2 linked regions of the Schizosaccharomyces pombe genome follow. Changing the gene in region 1 together with any one later gene gives a genetic interaction. Each region holds a gene or a part of one and is shown in the gene's direction. Other genes may lie near its edges.

Evidence for each region. Genes that interact genetically often act in the same process or in processes that back each other up.
Region 2: mutations in rhn1 (region 1) and nup37 together harm fitness more than expected from each alone (negative genetic interaction), as found in Schizosaccharomyces pombe (2 studies listed by BioGRID).

Annotation. Positions count from the first base shown.
Region 1 is NC_003423.3:1,033,266-1,037,990, forward strand, and holds rhn1 (RNA polymerase II transcription termination factor), read left to right. Parts: upstream 1-2,256; 5' UTR 2,257-2,272; coding exon 2,273-2,420; exon of another isoform or gene 2,421-2,468; coding exon 2,469-2,569; exon of another isoform or gene 2,570-2,637; coding exon 2,638-2,832; intron 2,833-2,879; coding exon 2,880-3,599; downstream 3,600-4,725. Other genes in the region: serine/threonine protein kinase Ppk27, read left to right, coding at 3,812-4,517, 4,585-4,725.
Region 2 is NC_003424.3:4,867,922-4,872,894, forward strand, and holds nup37 (nucleoporin), read left to right. Parts: upstream 1-2,422; 5' UTR 2,423-2,578; coding exon 2,579-2,604; exon of another isoform or gene 2,605-2,655; coding exon 2,656-2,732; exon of another isoform or gene 2,733-2,805; intron 2,806-2,901; coding exon 2,902-3,974; 3' UTR 3,975-4,105; downstream 4,106-4,973. Other genes in the region: SPOM_SPAC4F10.16C (P-type ATPase), read right to left, coding at 1-189; SPOM_SPAC4F10.17 (uncharacterized protein), read left to right, coding at 667-1,038; hit1 (HIT zinc finger domain-containing protein), read right to left, coding at 4,255-4,651, 4,765-4,832.

The DNA of each region.
Region 1 (4,725 bases):
GCTTCAGTTTTTTGTTCGAGTAAATCAATTCTAGTGTTCAAACGGATCGTTTCCCTTTTCATTTCAACCATTTCAACTTTCATTTCGGCCATTTCGCCTTTCATAGATGTCATCTCATTCTGCATAGCGTCAAACCGAGAATTCATGTCATTTTGCATTGAGTCCATTTTAGAAAATATTCGTTCGAAAATTCCACCTAGTTTAGTGTTTGCCCATTCATCTATCCAGCGTGGAAATTGTACTTCTCCCGATTGTTCTTCAGAAATTTCCCTTTCAATCGCTAACTTTTTCCATCCTTGTAGCCTTTCATTGCATTCAATTTCATATTTCATTTTACGATCTCATTCCTCAATATATTTTTTTCAAGTGCTTCTCTTTTGTTTTCGTCAATTTCTAACAATGTAGAATCTACAGATCTCTCGTATCTTTCAATGAAAATTTTTAAATCTTCCGCAGAATCATTTGGTGGTGGCAGATTGTAGTCATTATCAAAATTCTCGTTCGACATCATCCTTATTATTTATACAAAACCAGTTGCAATAAACCGCAGTATTCTTTTTAACGATAAAATTTCAATTCACTATAACTATACAAATGATATCTTTTGTAGCCTGCCTTATATGTTTACTAATTGACAAATATTTCTCAGAAAGGGAAATCTTGGAAAATAAAAGTACAAACGTGTGTTGAAAGCAATATTTAATATATGTGTTGTAAGTAAATTCAAATCTCTCAAGTTCCCCTTATATACAACTTTAAACAAAGAATGCTAAGGACAAAGAAAAGAGTTTTTGATGGATTAAGAAACAAGGTAACCTAAGTAACTTCACACTGGGAGTACGTGATACAGATAATGAAAATGGGCTTTATCTGTAAAATAAAAGAAAAATGGCTTATTTGCAGGTAACTTATTACAAAGTTAGATTTATTGAATAGAGGAGTATTTGTTTAAAAACAAACTTCGATTGCAAACATGCATAACAAAGTTAATAGAAAAACATTTCTTTATCCTGCTTTATTGTATTCCTCTTAAGGGATTCTCAACAGCTCTAAATAATCACGAAATATTTAAAGAAAAGGTATATTACTCATTCAAGCTATTAATTGTAAATAATATAACCCATAGCTACAACAAATGCGTTAAGAGGATATAATGTTAGCTACGCAAGTATTTAATTTAACGATACGTAGAACTACGGTGTTTTCCTAGTGATCTATTATATTGTAATTCGCAAGTAATATATAAGTAGCAATTGAGATTGGTATTCTAATATATGGGTTATATTGTTGAATAGATGAATGAGCAAATACAAGACTTGAAAAGTCCTTCAATGATATATTTCTGGTATAGAGTGTTGGCGAAACGACATGAATTCTGAGTTTGACGCTACGCAGAATGAGATTGCATCCATTAAGTTGAAATAACTACTATGAAAGGTGAAATGACTATCATTGGCAGAAAATGAACATTAGTTTTATACGTTGACATTCTTACGGCACTTTTTATTTACAATTTTGCTTACTACTAGTCATCCCGTTTTAACTTTGTTCTTAGGAGTTAATTTATTTTACTTTATTCATTTATTTTTTTATTTTTTTTGAAACTCGTATTATCGTTCAATTTCAGAACATCTTTACTGCTTTGCCTGCCCGGTTGACAAATAAATACGATTTCAAACGAACAATTAGTTTATTATATAATTTTTTACGTAAGTATATGCCATAGTTTATAGTAATACAAGGGAAGCAAAAACAAAGTCTCAATGCGGTGAGTAGTATATAGTAATTCCTGCTTCAGACAAGTCATTAAAACACACATTTGCACTCCGTACACATTTCTCAACACGCCGAATAGTTTCTTTTCATAATCCCCAACATATAACATCACAAGATTTCGTCTAGCATTCTTACCAAAACTCGTACTGTAAATGTTACAGTGAGTGATAGCCGTTAGCTAAGATGACCTGCTGAGACTAAACAAAATCATGAGAAAACGAATAATGTATTTTATATACCTAATATTTAAGAGGGAATCTTGGAGAAAACTGGGTAGTTTGAGAATAATAAATGTTCTTTTCCATCTTTACAAATGAGACGAAGATTTTTGCTCTACCCAAACTAATTAATCTGTTGTTTCAAAATCATTTTAAGTATAGGCTATAATGTAAAACATTGATATTATACAAGAAGTATTTATTACTTATGCTTATGATTTCGTTTGCGATGCTAACAGCAGTGTGTCGTAAGAAACTCACCATCAGCATAAAACAAGATGGCTTTGACTCCAGACACTGTTTCTTCAAAGTTGGCTACTCTAAATGAAACACAAGAAAGTATAACGGGAATAGCGCATTGGGTTATGTTTCACAAGCGTTATGCTGATGAAATTGTCCAAATATGGCTGGAAGCTTTGTATGAATGTATGACTCCTTTAGGAATTTGTTCGATTGTCTAACTAATTTAACCAGCTTCTTCCAACAAAAAGCTTTTATTGCTTTACCTGCTCAACGAAGTCGTTCAACAATCCCGGGTCAAAAAAATATCTGAATATATTGATGCCGTTTCTCCAGTAAGTTACTATCATTATGAGCTTGGAACATCTCCTATATGGTTTAGATTCTAATAATATTTGCATAGTATGTCGTAAACTCTGTAGCTGACGCGTACGCGTCAGTTCCTGCTTCCATTAAAACAAAAATCAAATACGTTTTTGACGTTTGGTGTCAACGCGGCATATTTTCTAAGGAGATACTTTTATCCTTGCAGGAAAGGTTTAATAATGCCGAGAACAGTGGCCATTCTAACTATTACCCCGTTGGCCCTCCGGAATGGGTATGCCGCAATTCAAATAAAATATCAGAACTTTACTAATTGCATAGGCACCTTACACTCGTTTAATGACACAAACTAGTTTATACGCAAAATCTGCTCACTCTACCAAAACTGTGGTAGATGCATTGTATAAATCATACTTGGAGAAACAATCAGATTATTCTGAACTACTCGATAATTATAAAAAGCAACTAAATAAAGCCTCTGAATCATGTAAAGGTAATTATCAGGCTTGCATCGAATCCCGATCCACACTCATTACTTCCTTGGAATCGCTTATAGAAGAACAAAAAAAGCTACTTTCAGAGGAAGAAGAGAGCCTAAAATCTGTTGAATCCATAATTTCTAATTTAGAGAATAAGGAAAGTACAACAGCTACCTCTACCTTGACCGATGCAGGTTTTGGAGATAAAAGTTCTACTGCTGGCAAACATAATGTAGAAACAACATCACCTCCGTCTAGTTCTCCAAACAGTGATGATGCTTATTCTCCTCAAGTAGATTCTTACTCTCCAAGCATTAACAGCGTACCATATACTTCCAATATTGTCGAAAATCCATCTGAAGACAATCTCTCTCCTCTTCCTCCTCCTGCCAGTGGACCCTATTCCCAAGAAGAAGAAGAAACATCATTATTTAAAAGCCAGAGAAAAGAAGAAAATGAAGAGGAATCTAAAGAATTACCAGAAGACTCAGATATCTATGGAAAAGATAGTTCTCCCTCTTCGGACGACTCTAGTGCAGCTGGTCTATATGGTGATAGCTGAAATCCATGAAATGTAATGCTTAGTTTTCATTATTTTTCTTTTTTTTTTTAAACTGTCAATCAATGTGGCAGTCTTAGTCAATAAGCATTTTTAGAATACCTATCCTAACCTTTTATATGCGTCAGTACCTGACTTCATCCTATCGAAGCCGTTTTTGGAATTTTGTATATTTCGAAGAAAGTTGAGCCCTATCTAGGAAGAATGGGCTTTTAATGTCTGAAAAAAAACATTCTTGCGAAGAAAAATCGCTGCAACTATATCCTCTTTCAAATAAAATTCGTCATGTAAATCCGAATATTTCAGCTCTTCCGTCTGAGACTGATATATCTGAATCATTGACGAACGATTTAACTAAACTAGAAATTTCTAACTATGCTCCATTTAATAGAGATTTAGAGACTTTTTCCGATTTAATTTTTGGCTTAACTAATATACAAAAAAAATCATTGTATTCTCTTCAATTAGGCAGAAGTAGAGGATATGCTTTATATTCAGACGAGAATGAGAAATATTTGTGGTCTATAAATACTAAAATCACCTCTACGGAACAAAGGGAAGTACTGCTTGTCAAATCTAATAATAAGAAGTTTGATACTTCCATCGTCCTAAAACATACTCACTTATCATCCAAGTCTCAAAACGAAAAAAAAGCTAGAGTAAAAGTATTTCGGCAAGAAATTTGGGCCCTCAAAACTTTGTCGCATCCATGTGTTGTGCAGCTATTAAATTACTACGTTTCCTCCGCCGAATTAATACTCGTAGAGAATTATTGTATGGGAGGAGATCTCTATCATTACACTAAAAAACATCATTCGGATTTCAGCCTTGAATTTGTTGGGCGAATTTTTTCTGAGTTAGTACATACAGTTGCTTACCTTCATTCCAAATGTTTGATTCATAGAGATTTAAAACTTGAAAGTAAGCTCGATGAATAAGGATTTTCAACTTTTACAGTTATGATTTTAAACTAACACTTTGTCTTTAGATATATTGCTTACCCAACCTTATAATGTTATAAAGACGATTGATAATTGGAAGAACTACCCAAATGCTTTAATTCAGATTTCTGACTTTGAGCTTTCTATTTTTGTTGACAGTAAAAATCATTTAGTGCAATCCAGCTGCG
Region 2 (4,973 bases), on another chromosome or scaffold:
ATGTGCTTCTTGTGAAAACTGGCTTTCGTGATGACGAGAAGAATAATCAGTTTGGTTTGTAGGTCCCTCATGAGCTAATGAGCCATTGTGCTGAGGTACATGGTGTAGATGATTAAAAGCACATATGGATAAGCCATGCAAAGAGGATTTCAATGAACTAATAGCATCAAAATTGATTAGGCTAGGCATCAAAGGGATCTACAATTCCTCAAATTCTTCCCAATCAGTTGCAGAATTACGAACGACTGCAACGTTCGACGATACCAATGACACAACTGGGAAATAAACAGAATTGATATCGCTTACGTACAGAATTAGTTCAATTAAGCTCAAAATTCGGCGTAGAGAAAGTCCTTTGAGGAGGCAAAATGGGTATGGCAAGATGATGTGTATTGATGTAATCCTTAAGTGCTGGGGTGTACTATATATACAGTGCAAAGGGTATGGGTAAAGTAAATAAACGATTTCTCAATAACAACAAATAAAGCATATTTATTGTTGTTTAATTTTTTTCGTCTTGAAAAAGAAAACAGAATTGGAAAATTGCTAAGGCACCATAAACAGATAAAGTATAACGTTTTAGTTCATACCCACTAGCGTTGGTAACTAAAACTTACACAAATTTTATATTTTTTGCTTTATTTTTTTTATCTTCATATTGTTAACATGGCGTTTCGTGCTGCAAGAATTGCTTTCGCTTGGAAGGCAACCAATCCTGCTAATACAACAATTCGTCAATATATAAAAGAAACACTGGAAGAAGCACCTGAGAAAATCAGTCAAACTGTCAAAAAAGCAACTGGTAAGGCTTCGAAAAAGATAGATGAAAACAAAGATAAGTCACCACAGGAAATGGCTGAGAATGCAAAGCAATCGGTAAAGCAAACTGCCAAGGATGCAAAAGATACCGACTATCAGCAAAAGGCGAAAGATGCTGGTAAGAAAATAAAAGAGGAATTTAGCCAACGGTCGGAAAACGTACTCGAAGAAACTCGTCGTGAGGGGATGAATCGTGATGGTGGTGTTAAAAAGGAATAAAGAGGATTCCTTGTAAATGAATCGAGTTAATGTATTGAGTGGAAGCTTGTATACAAGCTCCTTGATGCTCTTTATGATTTTAAAGATGCTTCACGTTTGAAAACATCGCTTTCTTTTTGGATTTATATGAACGAACAATGCATGATTTACAAAACGAAGCTAGAAGATTGTTAATAAACTAAAAATCATAGTTCAACGGTTCCTGGCTTTTATTTACAAAATAAATTCAATTTTTGATGATAGCAAAAAAAAAAAATTTCATGATTTAAATAAGAATGAGATTATCGCGAGATGTGTTAATTATATTCCGGTTGTATAGTCTGGTATTCGTGGCAGTGATACTGCATATTTTGCATTGCCGATGCTAGCCTTAGTATGGACTTGACTGTATGTAAAAACTTTATGGCCCACATGCTGTCAACAGCTACTATGGTCAAATTTAAATTTTGTTATTCTATAGGCCGGATAGTTGTATAAAGGCATTGTAATGGATAATGGTAATAATACTCATTTTGGTCAAACACATTCATGCCATTCTACTCCAGTAAATTCAATGCCGCTCGTTGTAAGCATAGCGATAAATCCCAAAGGCTGTTCAAAGCAATAATTTCAAATTTGTATTGCAACTTGCCAACATTTTTAAAGTAAATAAATTCCGTTATTGTACAGTGACATTCTCATGTTATATACGCTCTACAGTCAATAACATAATATCATTCACCAACATGATAGTACTCGATTGTATTATATTTTACTAGTCTTGAAGCAAGAATAGCCATAGCCCTTGGGTTTTTGAAGTTGCCAAGATTTCGGCTCAGAATGAAATGCCCAAGCTAAGATTTCCGAAGGTTTTTTCAAATTTTCAATATTTACTGCATTTACTCCCTCCACAAAATCTGGTTTATACGAGAAGATGTGACTGCTAAAATGATCATTATGCTATAAAAAACCCCATTTGTCGTTTACAATGCTTTACATTCGTTTTTATCCACACTATTCACAAGCCTGTGTCACGGTTTATGTAATTGGCTTGGGGAACGTGTTGGAAAGAATAAAACCGCTGTATACTTCATACGGAACGCAATTATTACTTTTCGTTCTGCAATAAATCAGTGGAATATCGTGTTGGTTTTTTTACATATAGTTTTATTTTGATGTATTTAGTAAACACTCTATTTGTTAATTGAATATAAGTTAAATTATTAAAAGATATTTAGTATAAGTACAAATTTTAGTAATTGCATTAAAATGGTTATATTTATCGTGTTTCATTATCTAAACTGCTTTGTATAGGTTTTCGTTTGATTTTTTGTAAATTAATGGTGGTAGTTTTGGCTCCGTAAGGTAGAACGTTTTCTTCAGCTTCATCCAATTCACGTAACCCACTAGTTACCTGCAACACCATATCACTAGAAAACGTGGCCGAAACTTCTCTTTTTCCATTTGTATATATAAATGCATTTTTAATTTCTTTATCTTTTTATTGTCTGCACAATAAAGCGTTCATTCTTTCCGTTTTTTTTGAAAACTATTTTTCGTCATGACTCTTTCCTCTAACCAGTATCAGTACGTTCAGCGTTATTTCGTTTATGTCTCTTTCTAACTTCTGTTTATTAGATTGCCTCTTAATGTCCGCCCGTATACAACGACTTGGTGTTCCCAGTCTCCTTCCTGTTCAAATCTTCTTGCCATAGGTATGTAAGATATCTGAATGTTACGACGAATGGTAATTTACGTATTACTCATTTCTTCTTTTCTGTTTTCCTAAGTTACAATATTTGAGAAAACCTCAGTGCTAATGAAACAATTATCTTCAAATAGCATTCCTCTAAACGTTTTAAACTAATGATTAACCTTATACAGGCCATGATACGGGTATCACTATTTATTGTGCTTCAGAAGAACAGACGCCCGGATCTACAGGTTTGACATTACAAGAGTTGTTCACTATTCAAACTGGGTTACCCACTTTGCATCTTTCTTTTTCATCTAGCTGTAGTTATTCTGAGAATTTGCATGATGGCGATGGAAATGTGAATTCCTCACCTGTGTATTCTTTGTTTCTTGCATGTGTGTGTCAGGATAATACAGTTCGTCTAATAATTACAAAGAATGAAACCATTATTACTCAACATGTGTTGGGCGGAAAATCTGGGCATCATAATTTTGTGAATGATATCGATATTGCAGACGTCTATTCCGCTGATAATCGTCTCGCTGAGCAGGTGATAGCATCTGTGGGCGACGATTGTACGTTGATTATATGGAGACTGACTGATGAAGGGCCTATTTTAGCTGGATACCCATTGTCTTCCCCTGGTATTAGTGTCCAATTTCGCCCATCTAATCCTAATCAATTGATTGTTGGAGAAAGGAATGGTAATATTAGGATTTTTGACTGGACTTTGAATTTATCAGCTGAAGAAAATTCTCAAACCGAGTTGGTTAAAAATCCATGGCTTTTGACTTTGAATACCCTGCCACTCGTTAACACCTGTCATAGTAGCGGCATTGCTTCCTCTTTAGCTAACGTTCGATGGATCGGAAGTGATGGAAGCGGTATACTTGCAATGTGTAAAAGTGGGGCTTGGCTTCGTTGGAATCTTTTTGCTAATAACGATTACAATGAAATCTCGGATTCCACTATGAAATTGGGACCCAAAAATCTACTGCCCAACGTGCAAGGCATTTCATTGTTCCCATCCTTGCTTGGTGCTTGCCCACATCCCCGTTACATGGATTACTTTGCTACGGCACATTCTCAGCACGGCTTAATACAGCTCATTAATACATATGAAAAGGACTCGAATTCAATTCCTATTCAATTAGGTATGCCCATCGTTGACTTTTGCTGGCACCAAGATGGATCACATCTTGCTATAGCTACGGAAGGATCTGTTTTGCTTACCAGATTGATGGGGTTTACGAGATTATGAGGGTATAGAACAATATACTTAACATCGAACTAAAATAAACGGGTTCAGGAGAGGAAATTGTATTGAATAAATATTAATGTTCATAGTTAAACCAAAAAGTAGTATTTGCTATGTATTAACATCGTGTAAACGCTGTTACTTTTAAAAATTTTAAATGGATGTGTTGCTTTCGTAAACAATTCGCCTTGGTTCAAATATCGCCTTTGATATTTCAACTTCCAATAACCGATATGCGATTTGAATTGAATCTTCTAAATGTTCGTTACAATGATAAAACCCATTATTTTTGAGCATAATATTTTTCCAGAATCATGGATGCCAGTTTTTCGAAAGATGGATTGTGTAGCCGCTGTTGCTGAATAGCATCTAAGGTTTTCAGAGGAACAGAACCCTCTTCCTCACGGTCAAGGTTCACTAATTCTTTCATTATATGTAAAAGCTCGGCATTACTTTCAATTAAATTTTTTATGCTAGGATCTTCGACAATAGATTCCAAAAGACTTTCACTTGGCAATGCCTCTTCTGCTAAACTTGGGATTCTTCCATTAACGTAGATAACATTAGGAGAAGGTTCTGGGGGGTTTAAAGGTTCTTTAACTCCTTTGAATGTTGTTGTGTTATTGTCATTTACAGTCTCACATTGACTTTGGTGGATTTTCCAGCAAGGTAATGAACAACTATTAATTCTATATTAGTATTTTTAGGAAACAGAAAAAAAGAATAAAGCATTGGTTCATGGGTTAATGTGTATTGAAACAAAATGCATTGTTCTGAGCTTACAAGCACATACTAAGGAAATGAACACTTCGGGCATTTATATTTTATTTCTGATTCGTTGCATATTGAACAAGTTGTCATGATAGCGTTTAAATTTTTCTAATGTATTAGAGGAGAAACCTTTTTTTTTAGACAAGCTCAAACAAAATAAGATTAAAGGGAGAAGAGCAATAGAGTAACGTCAAACCTTGCTAGTTCAAAATACAGTTAACACTGAATAAA